Caenorhabditis elegans: one gene and its partner. The protein of the gene in region 1 purifies or fractionates together with the protein of each later gene. This does not show direct contact. Each region holds a gene or a part of one and is shown on either strand. Other genes may lie near its edges.

Evidence for each region.
Region 2: the proteins of C12D5.9 (region 1) and rege-1 fractionate together in Caenorhabditis elegans (co-fractionation; one large-scale study listed by BioGRID). This does not show direct contact.

What each region holds. Positions count from the first base shown.
Region 1 is NC_003283.11:7,686,658-7,693,820, reverse strand, and holds C12D5.9 (T20D4.11-like domain-containing protein), read left to right. Parts: upstream 1-3,832; 5' UTR 3,833-3,844; coding exon 3,845-4,081; intron 4,082-4,129; coding exon 4,130-4,303; intron 4,304-4,560; coding exon 4,561-4,878; intron 4,879-5,153; coding exon 5,154-5,465; 3' UTR 5,466-5,628; downstream 5,629-7,163. Other genes in the region: C12D5.10 (T20D4.11-like domain-containing protein), read left to right, coding at 333-554, 607-780, 1,004-1,360, 1,410-1,730; nhr-152 (Nuclear Hormone Receptor family), read right to left, coding at 5,662-5,924, 6,011-6,117, 6,164-6,370, 6,418-6,503, 6,562-6,842, 6,931-7,096.
Region 2 is NC_003279.8:6,953,131-6,964,320, reverse strand, and holds rege-1 (Endoribonuclease rege-1), read left to right. Parts: upstream 1-3,181; coding exon 3,182-3,432; intron 3,433-4,180; coding exon 4,181-4,245; intron 4,246-4,337; coding exon 4,338-4,462; intron 4,463-4,675; coding exon 4,676-4,947; intron 4,948-5,788; coding exon 5,789-5,893; intron 5,894-6,057; coding exon 6,058-6,144; intron 6,145-6,577; coding exon 6,578-6,754; intron 6,755-7,622; coding exon 7,623-7,849; intron 7,850-8,390; coding exon 8,391-8,636; intron 8,637-9,199; coding exon 9,200-9,383; intron 9,384-9,482; coding exon 9,483-9,648; 3' UTR 9,649-9,907; downstream 9,908-11,190. Other genes in the region: T10B11.8 (BACK domain-containing protein), read left to right, coding at 10,168-10,186, 10,390-10,681, 10,732-11,079, 11,142-11,190. UniProt on the Caenorhabditis elegans protein: Endonuclease which binds to the 3'UTR of target mRNAs and induces degradation of the transcript.

The DNA of each region.
Region 1 (7,163 bases):
GTCAATGATCCGAAAGGTAGTCAATGAGCAAAGGTAGTCAAAGAAAAGATAGTCAATTAGTGTTTGCCCAGTTTTACTTACTACTAGATAGATCAAATTATAGATAAGTTCAGTGTCTAAATTTTTGAATTTTTTTTTGCTTAAGGGAAGGGAAATAATGTTATCAACCATAGTACAGCAGCTTTCCCACAACTCGTTGTAAAATTCTGGAAACATTTATTGGGAAGCTTGCCCGATTTGCCAAGTACACAAGTATTCAATAGATCAAAAATTAATCCATCAAAACTATTTAAAACCTGGTCCGATACGTTCACCACTCTTTTTTGTGTGAAATGCAACACTTTTCTCCTTTTATTATATTGTTACTTTTTGTTTCTGTCACTCCAGAAAGCAATGTTACTTTAAAAAACTGCACATTGCAAGACATTCAATCAGTTCAACAAAATTGTGAACCATTTGCAAATGAACTCAATTCATATAATGACGACTACGATGGAAAAATTCTACCAGATGATATTATTGGAAATATGACGGATTTGTGTAGCAGTGTAATTGTAATAATTGAATTTGTCCGATGGTTTTCCGATTTTAACTGTATATTTCCAGAAGTGTTATGGAGAGTATGAGTGCCAAGAATCTGCGAATTATAAAAAGAAATTTGAGCGGGAATGCGCCGAAATGAAAATTTCGAATGCCAGAGTTAAGGAGTGCATGCTAGAAATTTATGGCGCAATTTTCGAGGACACATACAACTGTACAAAGAACTTTGACTGGTTAGCAGTGAGTTTTTGAAAGTTTTGTTTAGATGGAACGAATTTAAATTCACAAACGATAAAACAATTTACGGCTATTTTCAATTTTGAAATTGTCAAATTTTCCAGCACACATGTTCCGACATCTTCCGAGTTTTCTAGCATTGCTGAAATGTCGGTCGTCGATAAATTATGGATGATTTTCTACCGAAATTACTTGCATTTTGGATTTTGAATTTGATAATTTTCAGAAAGATCCTGTAACCAAGCGAAATGCGTATCTTTCTGGAAAGGATTGTTTTATGGAAATTGTAACCAATGATTGTTCTAACAGTTCAGTTATGTATTTCTCTTCTCAATATGAACACTTTGTGGATCTAATCTCAATTAAACCTGATGGAGAACCTTGTGTTGGTCTGTACTATGAGCTAAACGAGCTTCGCTGCAATGAGCCAGTTTCTCAATTTTCTTTACAATTTGTTACTCTTTTTGCAAAACTTATGCCACCAATGGTGATGAATCAATCCGAAAGCGACGAAGCAAATGAATTTACGAATTTGCTGAAGCATGATGATTCAGACACCTCAAAGATTTGCATGTATGTACAGGTGCATTGTTTAAAACTTTTTGTAATCTAAACTCTAAAAACTTCTTCAGGACTGTCTGGTAGATTCCTGTACATTCTCCAAAAAGAAAGGGATCAGCGAATATTTAGACGTAGTCTGTGGCGAGTTGGAAAAAATGGACAATATAAATGAAAAATTTGTCGATTGCCTCGACTTTTTTCGAGACGATAATTCAACTTTAAGCAACTGTGTGAAAAATTACGAAACATCGAAAACTGTGGAAAATGCTCCAGTCGTATTGAAAAACTGCATTAAAAATGGAATCGAGGCTAAATGTGGAGCTGCTGCACTGGAGAATTTCGATAATAATTATGAATTTTATTTTACAAAAGGAATGTTGAAGAAACCTTGATCGTTATGAATCTTGGATGTAATTCCATTTTTTTGTTTAATGTGCAATTATGCCCCAGTTGACAGCTGATATGTACTTCCAGGAAGCACTTTTGTGCGGGAACCTGAATGATTTTCATTCAATCGACGTCTCTAAAAGAAAAACCACTCACAAGTAACATATCGTTTGAAATCTTTGATACAAAACATTGCAATAAGTGGCTCCAGCGACGGATATATTGCCACACTAGCTGCTGCAAGGCTCGCCAGTTTGCTAACATACACTTCGAAAAATGGCATGCTAAGCAACAAAAATTAAAAAAAAAAGGTCGTGTAAATTTAAAATGTGTCATCTAAAACAATAATTTGTGAAGACTTCTATGAATTTGATTTTAAAAAATTTGTTTTGGAAGATCACTATATATGTGGAGCACACTAAATACATCACGTTAAATAAACTACCGTTTACCTGAAATATTAGAGTTCTGAAAAACTGGCGATTCAATTCCATTGTCTTTGCACTCATATGAACTTGATTTTTCTTCAACGATGAATATAGGTTTGTTGCACAAAATATAATTGTTGAAAAGCAAATAATCTGAAAAAGAACAAATGTTTAACAAAGCTTTAATTCAATTGGTATTATTTACTTTTAGTATATTACAACTTACAATAATCACCGCACATCCAAGTGCGCATGTTGGTTTTGTGGTCAACGCACACAATTTCCAAAATGTTCCAAATTTTCTCCCCATTTTCCCCAATCGACCAGTACATTGGAGCAATAAAAGAGATCTTGGTAGAATCTTCATCATAACAAGCTCTCAGTTCTTCTCTATAAGTTATTAACTTTTATAAACAAACATATTTAAATGCTTACTCAATATATTCCTGTTTCTCTACGGTGTTGGCCATTCCAAAATAAACCAACAAATTCCATGCAAAGAAACAAATAAAACACGGAATAAATATCAGACTCAGTTTGAAACCTTCAATGCTAGGTAATGCGTCCGGCCTAATATATAGAAAACTCATTTTTATAAGAATATTTCAAAATACCTGCATATCGCGATATATATGTAGAAAAACTGAGCTGCGAGGAGAGATATTACAAGAGCATATGAACCGCAAAAAAGGCCTGGATAATTCGAAATGAGAAGTTTTGATATCTTTTCAAACGGTAATACTTTGTTTTCAGCTTTAAAGTTATATCAATTAACCTACATGTAATATTGTTTCCAATCCATTTATGATATTTCAAAGGGCTATCCATGTAGACAATAAATACTAGGCCTTTTATATGGATTACCTAAAGTTCTTTTATTAATTTTATTCCACAACCGGATGTGTTATTATTTCAATCCAGGCATACATCAACGAGTTTAAAGCAAATGTTGTCATAACATAACGATATGCTCCAAAGTGTTTTCCAGATTTTTTAACGAGCAAGTAAACAAAAAATGAGTTTGTGATCTGGGCGGCAAAAAATCCAATGTACTGAATTGTATGCAGCGGGCATTTTTTGTGTCTTTAAAATCAAAGGTTTTCTGTTTCTAGTTGGATAAAGACTATACTAGAGCAGGAAATGTAGGTGCTACCGGACTTTTGAATGAAACATGCTTCATTCAAAAGACAGTGTTGATAAATGGATAGATATGAATTTTGAGCTGCGAAATTTCAGAAGTGAGCTATCTGAGAGCTCAGAGAAGCTCGATTGCAAATGCCTTTCACTTTCGTAATTTCATAAAACGTTTGGGAGAGCTCTGAAAAGAACCCATTTTTTCCAGAAATCTGATATTTTGTTAAACAAAAGAATGAATTTTGCTTTTGAAGCACTTTAAAAGATCAGTTCTGAGCTTAAAATTCATACTTAACCATTTCTCAGTGTGCGCTTTCAAATGGAACATGCCTCGTTTACATGTCCAGTGGCACCTTCTCTAGTTAGATTCTTTTATTTGATAAAAAGTACTTTTCGTTCAAAAATTTATGACTCAGTACAGTTCATCATACAGTTTATATACTGCTTATAATACAAAGAACAACGTTTTTTCGATACCTATTAAATTTGGATTAAAATCGATTATTGCGACTAACTATAAATAAATCACATTTCATTCATTTTTTGCTCCCACTAAAATGCGGAAACCAACTCTTTTGGTATGTCTAGTAATGTCATATTTCAACTTTGTTGATTCTAAATCCAACCTATTGAATTCTCCCCTCAGAGTTTGTACACCAAAAGAGCAATTTGTGCTAGAAGGAAAATGCCTACGGTATGTGAACGATTTGATGTATCTAACAGAGGAATATCCACCAACTCAAATTACTGTGCCAATTGCCAAGAACATGAGTAGCGCATGTGAAAAAATTACTGTATGCTTTTGTTACTAAGACTTTTACACATTATCGTAACGATTTCAGAGTTGTTTTGCGGAAATTGAATGTGATGAAGCTCAGAGAAGCAAGGAAGTTTATGAGAGAAAATGCGAAAAAATAGAGTTCAATAACTACAAGATGCAAGAATGTATCCCAAAGTTTTATGAGACGGTCTATAACAAGTCACGCCATTGCACAGTCGAATTTGACTTTTTCTCGGTAATCATTATATATTGATAAGAAGTAGGGTTGTTATGAGGGGCCAAATTATTAGGACACTCCAGGAACTAATGTTCGAAACCTGATAGAAATATGAAATAATTAATAGTAGGAAAAAGTAGTATTTCCCTACTTGTATTTTCCGGATGCGTGACTACTCCATAATAACAATTTGTATGCCTTTTTTTATTTTTGTTTTCAAATGAATTTTGAAAGGATTGGCATTTATCAGATTAGCATAATGCGTCAACTTTTAGACGGATTTGAAAACTCGACGTGATGCATATATTAATGGAAAATCGTGTGTTGTGAGTATCGCCAACGAAAGAAGGTGTGATGAGAAAGCACTGGAATATTTGAACTCAAGTTATGACAAGTTTGTGGATATTATGAGCATCAAACCAGACGAGAAAAAATGTTCTTCATTACACGATGAAATGATATCAAAACAATGCCAACCTGTGCTCTTGAAATTGGGAAATGGTGTAGTTGGATCACTTGATAAGCTTATCAAAAATGCAAATGAGACGAAGCCTGCTGTTGAAAACAGACCGGATGTTTGTGATGAGTTGCAGGTAATTTTTGACTTATCTGATAGTGAATATTTTATCTTATATTCAAAGTATACCAGATTATTATGTTGTCATTGTCGTTTAACCAGATGAACTTTAACAGTATGAACTTTTATAGGTACGAGGTAGGCATAGGTAACACTTTTGTATGTGTGATTTTATAAAATCAAGAATTTGTTTTGGTATTCGAAATTTGTTTGGAATATCATAATAATTTTTAATTGAGTTTCTGAAGAAGCTTGTTGTTATTGTGCCTGAAGTTGAAAAAAACATTTCAGAATTGTCTTCAAAAAAGTTGTTTTTACACCCAGCATAACCAGACAAATGCCAATGCATACAAAGAAGGTTGTGAAAAGCTAACTCTTGTACCGTTCTCACTTTGCAAATTCCAAGTCATGATTAGTCCCACTTCGACAAGTTATAAGTGCGTCATCGACAGTTTACTTAATCCAAGTTCAACAATGCCTCGCAACAGTTTCTTGGAAGACAAGGAATGTATGAGAACTATGATGGGAGGAATATGTGGAGCTGCAATTTTGGAAAATTTTGACCGCGATTGGGAAGCATCTAAAACTGCGGATTTGTTTTGATAATAAAGTCCTGTCAATTGCCCATTTTTTTAATACTAAAAATCTAGAAAAAATTAAATTTGATTGTTTTCTAATTTTTTTCAAAAGCTTAAATAATCCCGCATAATGAATTCTCACATGTTTATCGGTTATGGATGAAATTAAAGTTCAATTGAATGTTTCATTAGATCTTTCTCAAAATTGCAATTCGAAAATCTTAACTAAAAATCATTTCATACATCAAACTCCTGCTGAATTCTTTTGGAAGAATTGACAACATTGGAGCAAGGAGACAAACATGAAGATCTTTCAGTAGTTTCTGCTGCTTTTCCAGAGTAGCAATAACTCCAATCAGATCTACATATCGAGTTGGGCCGCTGGAATTCAAACTTTGAAGACAGTAAACCAGCAACATTTCAGAGTAAAAACTTCGACCTTTTTCTAGTTTGTATTGAGCGTTGCTTGACAGATTGGGAATCGCTGAAAACTTGACAAAAAGTTTTTCTTTAATTTCTGACGTGAACTTCGATGTTTGGGGGTCAGGTCTCACTTGAAAATATTCTTACCTGGATTACAGATGAATATCATTTTGAGCAATAAGTATTCAATGTAGTGAACTCCAACTCTCATCAGAGCATAAAACACCATTGCAAATGTAGAATACTGGGGTTCACTTGAATTTTAATTGATTTTAATTATTTGCCAAAATTTGAACCTACGATTTTTTGGGTCGTTGAGTGCCATCCGGTTGGCGAAGATCTTCATATTTATTTTTCAATGTGTAATATGCAGAATGTAAATTTGAACAACCAACTACAACATGCCTCATCAAGATCAACTGGTCCTTTGTGTCAAGTTTTAGAAAAAATGGGAAGGTTTTCAAGAATTCGATTGATGTGAGCAAATTGAAAAATCTCCACTGTTTTCTGGAAAACTGCCTTTATTGACAAATTTCATATTTTTTAAATCGTACCTATGAGGTGAATAAGTTTTGAAATTATAATCCAAATTTGAGCTAGCAAAAATATGATTTGGGTGGTAAGGCCATCCAGGGAAAGGCTGAAAATCGGGGAAAAACTTCAAAATTATACTTGTTCACTGAATCTAACACAGTTACCCCAAATTTATTAGAAAGGCTCAGTTTGCTGGAGCAACGTAACAAATCTTCCAGTCCTCCAATTTCGGTCCAATTTGGGTTATAAGCCGATAGTCTGAATTGCTCAAGTTTGCAATCCAAATAGGTTAGCTCGTTAATCACATCTTTAATTTTCTCTTCTTTGGAGTTTTTTAAGCTTTGAGTCAAGTTTTTAGTTGTTCGAAAATTTAAAGCATTTGGGTTCATTCCAACTAAAAGACATTTTTTGAAGCGGCAAGCTCGACAACGAAGAAGTGGTTCAGCTGAAAATTGTAATTACGGATTGAGAATTTAATGAGAAATACAGAAAAGTATTTTCCGGTAAATTAAAATTTAAAAATTCAAACTAACTTCTCTTGTCTAAATCAAAACAGTCACTATTTATATAGCACCGTAGCTCAGATTTCAATAAATACATCCGACGGAAAAACGTTTTGCAGCCCTTACAAGTTGCCACGTCACAATGATGACCATGTGCCGGCCGATTACATATTTTACAGTTGAAGGGTGAAGGGAACTGAAATTATGAGCATTTTAAAATTATTGTAATAATCGGAGACAAACGAAAAAATTTTCAAGCATGT
Region 2 (11,190 bases), on another chromosome or scaffold:
AGTATTCATTTTCATTTCTACAAATAACTGGCTACAAGTGCTACACTAGACTCAAGTAATTTCATATAGACAGTTGCATGAACATATTGATAATTAATGACTTATCAACTAGAAAACTAGAGGCTACTGTCACGAACATACAAAATAAGTCAACAAAACAAAACATTTAAATAAAGCAGTGACTTATTATTCTGCAGGTTACTGTACTCCGGAGTGAGTCACCAAAATGGGTTTGTTTTGTTCTAGAACATCCCACGTGTGCAATGTTTTTGAACTGTTCTAGATTGATCATATTAGATCAAAAATCATCATTTCCAATTAAAAACGAAAAACCTTAAATGATTGTGTTTTCTTGCCAGTTTTTGATGGAAGCTTGAAACAAAGGTCAATGTTAGGCATTCTCAGATTCCTGGGAATGGCAGAGTCGATTTTCAGACTGAATAAATTTTGGCCGTTTTTTTCGAAGGATAAGACCAATTTTCTGTCGACTCAAAAACGGGGTGAAGCAGTGCATATTACACCCAATTTATATTTAAAAAATCTTAAAAGTACAGGCTGCCAAAGAGTGTATAAATGAATTAGCGTGTGTAAGCGGTTTGTTTTAAAATGGAAAACGTACTCTAAAATCGGAAATACTAGAAAAAAAAAGTTTTTTAAAGCGAATCGCGGATTGGACTTGCAGTTCTCATCATTCTTTTGTTGTATTTCAGAATTTTTTGCCCAGTTTTCCGAACTCGGCAAATTTTGAGATTGCCGCACACCCTTGGCCGAAAGCTCGAACATCAGTTGATTATTTCAGATGAAATTAAATTTCTTATCAATTCCGAACCACCTCTTATTCAAATAATACACAAATTATCTGCTGTCTTCTCATGATATCTAATTATTTCCGGTATCTTTCTTTATTTAAATAATAAAAAAGGACGCGGAACGTACTGTGCTTTCCTTGTTTACAGCACAATCACTCCCGGTTCAGACCTTTATCATGTTATCAATTTTTCCCCATTTTTTTGCTCTTTTTCATTGCCGTGTGCTGCTTTTCGTCATCATTACGTCTGATTCATTCATCATTCTTTGAAAATTCATTGAAATTTTATCGGTTTTTTTGCTCCGCAATCGGTGGAATTTTGGATGATTTCTTTTCTGTAAAAATCTTAATAGTTTATATACCATATTGTATATTAATTGTATATAGTTTGAGGTTGGATCTTCCGTAGGTTTCCCATTTGCTCATGCTCAATTCATTTCCGTTTTTTTTTGGTTGATAACCAGTCCATTTTCTCGCATTTCTCGGCTTCTGTTGCGCAATAGAACGGAGAGAGGAATAGAGAAAGATCAAAGAAAATAGGAAAAAAAACATGAAGGGAAGTGTTAGCTATGCGATTGTACAAAAGACCATTCTATTCATTCATATTCACTAGTTTCTCATTTTTCTAGTGTAGTTTAGGCAATCCCTTCTGAAATTATAAGCACACTCCGTATCGTTTGTATTGTCTAATTGGAAATGCATTTTAAAGGTGTAAGATTTAGAATGATGAGAACACGTTAAACACAAATATCATGTTTATTTTAAGATCCAGATTATCTGAAATTGTCTGACATAGATTTAAAAAAGCATATATTTATTTTCATTTTCAACGTGAAAGTTTAGTCTCTAATTTTGAGATTCGGAAAAGCTGCACAAAACTTTCACGTTAAAAAATTAAAATTTAGTTGAACAACTTCCAAAATCCTATTTTATTATCACTTATGAGTGTTTTAACTGCCGCTATTTCATTTTTAAAACTCACTAGCAGTCAGTTGGATATGCTAAAAATTTGCAGAATAAATTATCAAACTGTTGGAAGTGATTAAAAATTTCAATTTTTGATAATTCAAGAAACATTTTGGCTTTGAAAATTTTAGACCTTTAATTCTAAATAATATTATTTATTCGCATTTTACTGATAATGTTGGAAAAAAGTTCAAAAAGCTTTGGAATTATAAGTGATATTTTTGATATGTTTTGTGTGTGCTGAAATGTTACCCGACTTAAACATTTGGTTTTTCAGATCTTTTTTAAGAATAAGTTCACCGCGAACTTTCTGGAATGCCTTGTGAAAAAAATATTCAGCCTGATGTCTAAACATTTTTTTCAATTTGGCATGAGCAAAAAACACGAATTGTTTAAATCAAAAATGGAAGTCATTAAACTTTTCCTCTGTTTCATGAAAAAAATCACAAAATTAATCTACGGAATCTAATTATCACAAACAATTTCCCTGATCAAAGAAATAACCTCATGTTTTTTTCCATAAGAAAACAAACAATTTCCTTCATTTTTTCTTTAATACTTCTCTCTTCTCCACCCCCGGATTTATTCCCTCTTTTCACAATTTGTATTCAACTGATATATCTAATATATATCTCTAATATTTCTCTCCTTCTTATTTTCTTTCTAGATAATCCCTTTTTTGAGTCTTTTTCAGATTGTTGATAATCCCTCCTCCTTCTATTTTGTTTTTCATTTATTGGTGTTTGTTCAAGATTTCCAATAAAAATAAATTTAGTTTAGGCTCGAAATTTTAAATAAGAGCTAAATATTTGAATCCAGAAATCAATTTTTCCGAATCAAAGTCCGAATTCGAGGAATTTTATCCAATATAAACTTTGTCCTGTGTCTTCTTCTTCTATCATTTTTGTGTCTTTTCCATTTTCTCTCGATTGCATTTTCAGACGGAACTCTACCATCATTTTCAACTGAAAAAGCTATAATCTTCTTATTTTGTGTTGACTTCTAAAAGGTTTTCCGTTTTAAAGTTCTAATGATAGGATGGGGACAAAAGACACAATTTAAAAGAATCTAAATTTTTCCAATGTTTTCCAGAGTATTGAGGAAGAGTTTTAGGGAATTTCTCAACAGGTGTGCTGAAAAAACTTAATTGGGACAATTCGCCAGTTTGGTTCACCAAAAAAAATTCCACGCACTTTTTTGATGAAAAAATTCACAACAATTGAGAAAGTTCAATACAAAAGGTACCTACTATTTCATATGAGCAGTGAAAAAAGTATAAGCCATCTATTTCGCCATCGTATTTCGAGCTAGTCAAATTCCTTGCTCTTATTGTTTTTACTCTCACTTACTTTTTCATTTCTCTTTCTCTCTCTCTCTCCCCCTCCGCCCAAACCACAAAATTTCAAGATGGATTCAACGGCTCGTGGCCACGCCCCTTTGTGTCGAACCAGCAACCAAAGAGGACTTGGAACACGTCTCAATCCATATTATCAATCAACTCCACATCAACCAATGGTACAATCAATGTCAAATCCAATTGGCTCCTACGGAGAACAAGGAAATGCTCAAATTATTGGAAGTTCTGGGCAGGTGCTTTCAACTGGACCACCGCCAGGATTGGCTCCAGTTCAATGCAATGATTTTGACTCTTGTTACAGGTTTGTTATGTTTTCAGATAAAGTGCAGAGAGAAAAAAATTTCAAAAAATTAATTTAGTCTGAAATTATTCAGTTGAAATCATGGGGAGAGATGGCTTGTTCTCGACAAATCTACGGAATTACATTTTAAGAAATGGTAATTCAAAATTAGTAAAAATACATATAAATATTCAACTGATTTGCAAATAATTTATACCTTCGAAGTTTTTGAAAAGGTTTTTAATTATGCTCTTGTTTTGGATGTTAAAATTCAATGACAAATTTATTTGGCCATCGTAAAAAATTTTTTCGCAGAGTTCCTGCAAAAAAGCTTCGAGAAGTTGAACCTTGCATTTCTGTTTGTAAATCGTCACCCACATGCACTTCCGTTAAAAATAATTTTCAGTACAAATGATGGCAAATTAAATTAAGAGTATAAGGAAAAAATATGATAAAACCTCTGTAAATGACTGAAAATAACTATCCCGGAAACAGACAACGTGCATTTCTTTCGCATATTTTTCATATTTTTTCTTTTTTTCCATCAGCCGGAAATTTTGTTCTCATTTTTCTGTAGGTCTTCTTTTTTCAATCCTTGGAGGTTTTTTTTGCAGTTTAATTTGTTTTCAGAGAAATAACTTTTGAGCTTTCTAGTCACTTTTTATGAGTTTGGATTGAGTTTGGATGCACATAAATATTTATAACATTAAACATTTCAGCAATCTCAAAAAAGTTTCAATTCAAATTTTTTACCATTGTTTTTTTGCAGTTCTTGCGACGATATATCCCATCCATCACTGAGTCGCGAATCATCGGATCCAAGCAAAATTGATGGTTAGTAGGAAACAATTATTTTAGATAATTTCAAAGATCCCTGATTTTTATTTAATATTTTCAACAAAATTATATTTGCTCTTAAATCTCAGATGACCAAACAGCGCCAATGATAAGATATCCAGCACCGGAAGTTGTTGAATTCGCCACGAAATTGGGATATTCGACAGAGCAACTAAGTCACGTATTGAATACAATTGGTGTTGATTCTAGAATGGTTCGTGTTTATTACTTCAGAAAAATATTTAAATTAGAACATGTTTGTGACTTTAAAAACACTATACGACAATTTAAGGAAAATAGTTTTCAGATTTTCTAGTAAATTGCGAAAAGTTGGAAATGTCTCACCAAAAATCAAAAATAACAGTATTCAATTGAAATTTCATAAATTTGATTCGAATATTGTCAAACAAAACTAAAAAAATTTCAGGACGACGTGCTCTCAGAACTTGTAAAAATGGGTCTTCCTGGTGGTAAACCAGAAAATTCTGGAAAATCTGGAAGTAGAAATTCTCCTGAACCAATCATGACTTCCTCTGCATCGTCTTCTTCTGCCTCATCATCGTCAAGTCATCGTCCTATTAGACAATCAGTATCAATTGCCACGTCATCACCTGCCACGTCATCATCCACACCATCCAAATACAACCCGGATCCAAGTTTGAGAGCTGTGGTTGTTGATGGATCAAATGTTGCAATGTTGTAAGTTGACGCAAAACAAATGGTAGAAAAATACATAGATAGAAACGGAGATTTTGAATAAGCAGTGGAGATATTCACGATATATTTTAAGTACAAAAGAACTAAAACATTCCAAAAAATAACTGACAATTACAATCTAATCATTACCAGAAAAATAAGAAGATTACGGTAGTTTCTGGTTTAACATAAAACAATGACAGACTACGTGTCTTCTTCTCATAACTAAGTGACCACAGACCTTGTCACCCGCCTACCGGAAGTATTTGTCTATGTTTCTCTCACATTCTCTCTTGTTTTTATAAACTCTCTCATCTTTTCTACAAAAATGAGCTCTGTTCCTGTGCCGTTTCTCCCACTGTGTCCGCCGCCGCTCCTGCTTCCGCGCCAAAATAGTCTGTTATTTTTGCCAACTTTCTTCTTGCCTTGCTCCGATCGTTTTTGGCTTCTATATGTCTCTCATAATCCTATGTGCTCTCTCACTTCTTATGAGCAAATATGAAAGTTTTGCGCCCTCTCTTTCTCCGGATTGACTGCTTTCCGCAGCGGATGCCCTGGGAAGAAACATAATGTCAATAGAGGGATAGAGAGAGGGAGACAGAGAGAAACGGAAAACGGCACCCTCTCTTGATCATCATGATTTATTCACCATTTTCCATGATTCTCAGAATTTTTCATGATTTTTCTGTTTTTTTGTTGTTGAAAAGTATATCTTATCTAGTTGTTAAAATGTTGGTTTTTACCATTAAAACAGTCTTTACTAAACTTTACAAAACAGTTCAAAACTTGTCGATCTAATTATTTTAATCTATTCTATTTACCCATTTGAAATAATCATTTTCAGACACGGCCGTAAAGAAGTCTTCTCGTGTGCAGGTCTCCGCGAGTGTCTCAATTATTTTCTGGAACGGGGACATCCGGAAGTTCTCATATTTATTCCCCAATACAGGTAAGTGTGAAAACGACACTTGAAATTTCTGTAATACAGTAGTCTACTGTAGTTTCCATAAAAATTTACGGTACGTGATTGTAAGTCATTTGGTTTTTAATGTTAATTTGACCATGGCTACGGAATTATTAAATGAATATAATTCTGAAAATATGAGTTTTCAGAAGAGAACAACCACGATCGGATAGCCCTATCACAGATCAACATATCCTACAGGAAATCGAACGACATATCATTTATACTCCTTCTAGGTGCGCCTTACGACATTTAAATACTTAGTGTATAATTTACACTCAAAAAAACTTGATCCAGAAACTGGCAAATCTGGAGTTAAACTTGGACAAAACTTGGTTTATGACAAACTCGAGTTGAGTCCAAATCCCAACTCTTGTCAATGACTTACCCTTGTTTAAAAAAAACATAGGAAAAGTTTGGATCGAGTCAAAAATAGTTGCAGCTTAAACCAAGTCTTCTCAAAATTGTCTCCCACATTTGCCAGAGCTTTTCCAGCTTCTGCACCAATTTAATTTTTTGGTCACATTTTTAGTTGTTTTACTTGAGAATATCATCGGTAAGAATTGGTCTGAGCTCAATTTGTGAACTTTACGTTAGCAATTTTCAATGTCTTGTTAAAAATTGAGTATCATAGTTTCCATATTAAATAGAATATGTAATAATTTTCAGAAACGTTAACGGTCGTCGAGTTGTCTGCCACGACGATAGATATATTCTCAGGACTGCTGAACTAAAAGACGCTGTAATTGTGTCAAACGACGAATATCGTGACTTGACACGTGAGAATCCTGCGTGGAGGAAGATTGTCGAGGAGAGACTTCTTATGTTCACTTTTGTTGAGGATAAGTCAGTTTTTTAAATTACTTTGAGATAATATTGTTTAATAGACAAATAAAATGCCATAAAATCTTATGTTAATTGACTATGTATTAGATATGGAATAGATTGAATGGGGGATTTGCTGTAAAATTAGCGGAACAATTCATAATTTTGAACCCAATCACCCAAAGTAAAACTGAATTTTCTCCAAAACGAGAACTGTAGTCTCAGGACCAATCAGCAAATATCTCCATCCACATTTGAATCAATCAGTGAAGTTCCACTTCGTACACTTTTATAAATTGGTTCAGAAGTGGGGATAAGCTGTTCACTGATTGGTCTTGCAATTCTTATTGTGGAGGGAATGCAAACATAGAGTATGAACTAGGAGAGAATCACGCTTCGAAAATTGCATGATTTCATTTTGTTGTAAAATATCTAAATGTGTGAACTATTTCAGGTTTTTTTTTGAAGTGCCATTCACTCTATTTCACATTTAAATGCCTACCTAATTATCGTACTAACCGATTCGCCGGAAAAAATAAATAAAAATTTTCGAGATCATGAAATCAACAAATAAACATTCTGCTAATTGAGGTGTTCATCCGTGTTGTTTTGAGGTGTTTCTTGTGTTTTCTATTCGTTCTCCTCTATTCAAATATTTGCACTTCGACCTGTTTTCCTGCACTTTTTCCTCTTTTTTTCCGAAAAGTCTGTGAACAAAAGAGCAAAGCTCTGATTGCACTTTTTCTCACTTTTGGAGACAAAAAACATCAAGACTTTTGTGTTTTTTTTTTAAGTTAGTTTATAGAATAATAAACTTTAGAAGCTAGGATTGTTCTAAAAAAATTCAATTTTTTTAAATATCGTCTTTCCTAATACTCAGTAAATTCAGATTTATGCCACCGGATGATCCATCAGGTCGTCATGGTCCGCGAATCGAAAGCTTCTTATCAAAAGTTCCTGTAGTTTCATCAAATCCTCTTGTGTGTCCATATGCAAGAAAATGTACATATGGGAATAAATGCAAATTTTATCATCCAGAAAGAGCAAATGGGCAACATATGAGTGTAACTGAGCGATTGATGAAAGAGAATCAACAGAAAAAATCATTGGGTGCAGGTATGTTTTGGTTGAATTAAACCCCACCCGTATAATTTTATATTTTTAATTTTAAAATTTTAAAATTTTAAAATTTGTTTTTCAAATTTGTCAGATTTCAAATTTTCAACCCTAATTTTTCTCCATTCTTTTTGGCTGTTTGTAACATTTTGTGCCAAAAACAGAGTACTTTAACAGCTCAAAAACCACTAGAAAATCGTTTTGAATTGATGATATGAAAACATTTTTTGACAGAAAATTTCATGAAAGTTTAGGTTTGCTTTAAAAAAAATTATATTTCCTAAAAGGGACTCAAAGTGCTTGTCAAATGTTGAAACCCTCAAAAACTCATTTTCGTGGCTAAAAAAATGTCGTTTAGGCAAATTCAGCGTAAAATAGAACTTGAATAATTTTTGATTGAATTCGGAGGTACAGACTTGAGTTTCGCCCCACAAATTGTTGTGGTCTCTGTTCAATTGATTGACTTGTTTTCCTTATTAAATTGATAAACACACACCTAAAACTGATCTTGTATATTCCTAAATTAAATTCAAAATTTCAGTAAAATCGATGCAATACGAAATGTTCAAGAACAAGCATGCAGCTTTATCACGTACTCAATCATTGAATGTTGTTAAACAACTCACAGAAAACATGTCCCAACTTCCTCCAACTCCTGAGAGCCCCATGCAAATGCCACGTCAGCATATGCAATTACAACAAGCAAATAGTGCTCCATGGCAACAACATACAGTTGTTCAAAGACATGGATCATCTCCATTAACACCCGTAAATCGGCAAATGAATGGTTAGTTTTATGATTTCAAAAAATTAAAGTGCATTTATTTTCTTACCAAAATTATAAAATTTATGTAATTAATTAATACACTTACACTTACTTTCAACTTGCAGTTTTTTCAAAAACCTATCTTCAAAAAAATATAGAATCATGTTTGAACAAAATCGTGCACTACCTAGTTTATATTACGAAACCATCAGTTCATGAGAATGCCTACTTTCTGGCGCGAAAATAGCGGCAAAGAGAGATTTAGGTGCCTTCGCTACGAGATATTCCCGCGCCAAAACGTCAGGCATTCTCATGATCTCATGGTTTCTTAATAGCAATTTTCCTTCCCAAAGATACGGTAGCCGGTCTTGAAATATTTTCAAATGAACGTTGCGCAATAAAATCTAGGTCTTTAATCAGTACAGCAACCCTATTCCCGCTGCTAAAAAACACATGAATATCTGGATAACATTTGTAAAATAACAGGGGATGAATTGCTGTACAAACACATCGCCACCACCGTTTGAAAAAATATTATTCGTGTCGAGACCAACTTTACAAAACCTAAACAATTATTATTTCAGTTTATCCAGATATGTATAACATGTCTCAACAACAAAATCATCAAGTCCTTCCTAACCAACACGGAGTAATTGGGGGTCAACGTCCGCCGAAAATGACAACTACAGTATCCCAGACACACCTTTTCGCACCTTCGACAGCTGTTTGGGGACACTCTGAATTATCCGTTGGACCTGTGAATACTGGGTTAGTTTTAAAACATTTAATTTTGGATATTTCGAAAAATCATTTTGAAAAACAATTACAATTTCCGGATTCAAAGCTTTATCGAAATTACATTTTCAGATCTGATGAAAGTCTAGCAGAAGTTCGTTCACGTGTACATTTTCATCTTTGCAACATATTTCCGCATGATTTCGTTGAATCTGTGATGGCAGCCAATCCAGAAGAAGTAAATGCTCCGGTGCTTTGTGAGCTCATTATCCGAGCTCAAAAAGAGTACCGAAAATGATTCAATCAATATTATTATTTATTACATATTCTCACCGAATAACCTGTTACCCAACCTTCCATCCCCGTTCCATACTCGGTTCATTTGATTTTTTAAGAGATTTATATTCTTAAAAAGCGTGTTCCAGTGTGAGTGATTGCCACGTAGAATCATTCTGATTCAAAGATTTTTATTTAATTAATTAATTCATCCATAAGTGACGAATTTGATAATGTTTGTATTTAAATTTTTGTAAAGAATGTAATGAACATTTGTATTTAAAGAATTGTGATTAATGATGCTTCATGAATTAAAACACACATAAAACATGTTTAATTAAAATTAAACAGACGCGGATTCGCCGAAAAATATTACCATAATCTGTTAAAGGCGCGTACATGAAAAATTTGTAGGGGTCTCGTCGAGAAAATAGTTTGGCGCAGCTTTAAATGCAAACTTTGTAAAACTGAATTCAGTTTCATTTTTCCCCTAAAATTTTTGGTAGTTTTACAATTAAAAATCAACTTCTATGGACTGAGCATGGAGAAATCAAATGAAAGTAAGTTCTTTTTAGAATATAAATTCGTTAAAATGTTTCCTATTCGTTTTTTCAAACGCGTTGCCTTTTTCGGAAAGCTAATTGTAAACACAGTTTTGAAAAATTTATGAGTAATTATATTTTTGAAACGAGAAATTATCGCGAAAATATTATCATATTCCGAAATTTTCTTCTAATTTTGATACCAATAAGACTTTCTAAAGTTTCAGATTTTTCCTCGGAAAAGGAAAAACGATCGTTAGTGCTCCGAGTTCTGAATGAAGCATCTTTGAGTAGTTTATCGATTTCTCATCAGAAAGCATTCCGTCCAACGATGACACTTTTATCCCGATTTGACAAAACCACAGATGATGCAGCGATTGAAGTATCGAAATATATTATTAAATATGAAACAGAAGTTTTGGATCAAATCAATGTTAATGGATTGATTGTATTGGTTTCGATGAACTTATTGATTCACGAAAAAGCTCCAATCGTTAATTTAGCCATAAAATGGTAAGTCTCTAATATTTTTCAAGCAAATTCTTTTAAAAACTATTTTTCAGGCTTCTCCTTCATGAGCTCGAAGCTCCAATAATGAACGCTCTTCTTATGAGTATAGCTGTTCAAAACATGACCTTCACAAAGGTCGCAAAAATTCGTTTGGCTATCCAAATGTATGTGACCATTCCACAGCTCCGTGATCATTACGATATTCATCTAAATAAACACGGACTCATTATCGCCCACAGAAAATCTTTACCCGGAGAACCAGAAGCTTATAATAAAGAGCAACGGATTTCTTTGTGTCGGAAGCTCAATGAGATTACCGACAAAAATATTAATCCATTTTGGCCTGCTGGTTCGTGGAGGAAGGATTATGAAAAACCGAAACTCAATAAAAACGGGAATATGTTAGTTTTTCGTTTTTCCACTTTTTGTCGTGTTCCGAATTTCTAAAAACTTTTTTTTAAAGAAGATTTCCAAAGAAAGTGATGTCAGAGGAAAAACTTGAAAATCCGCTG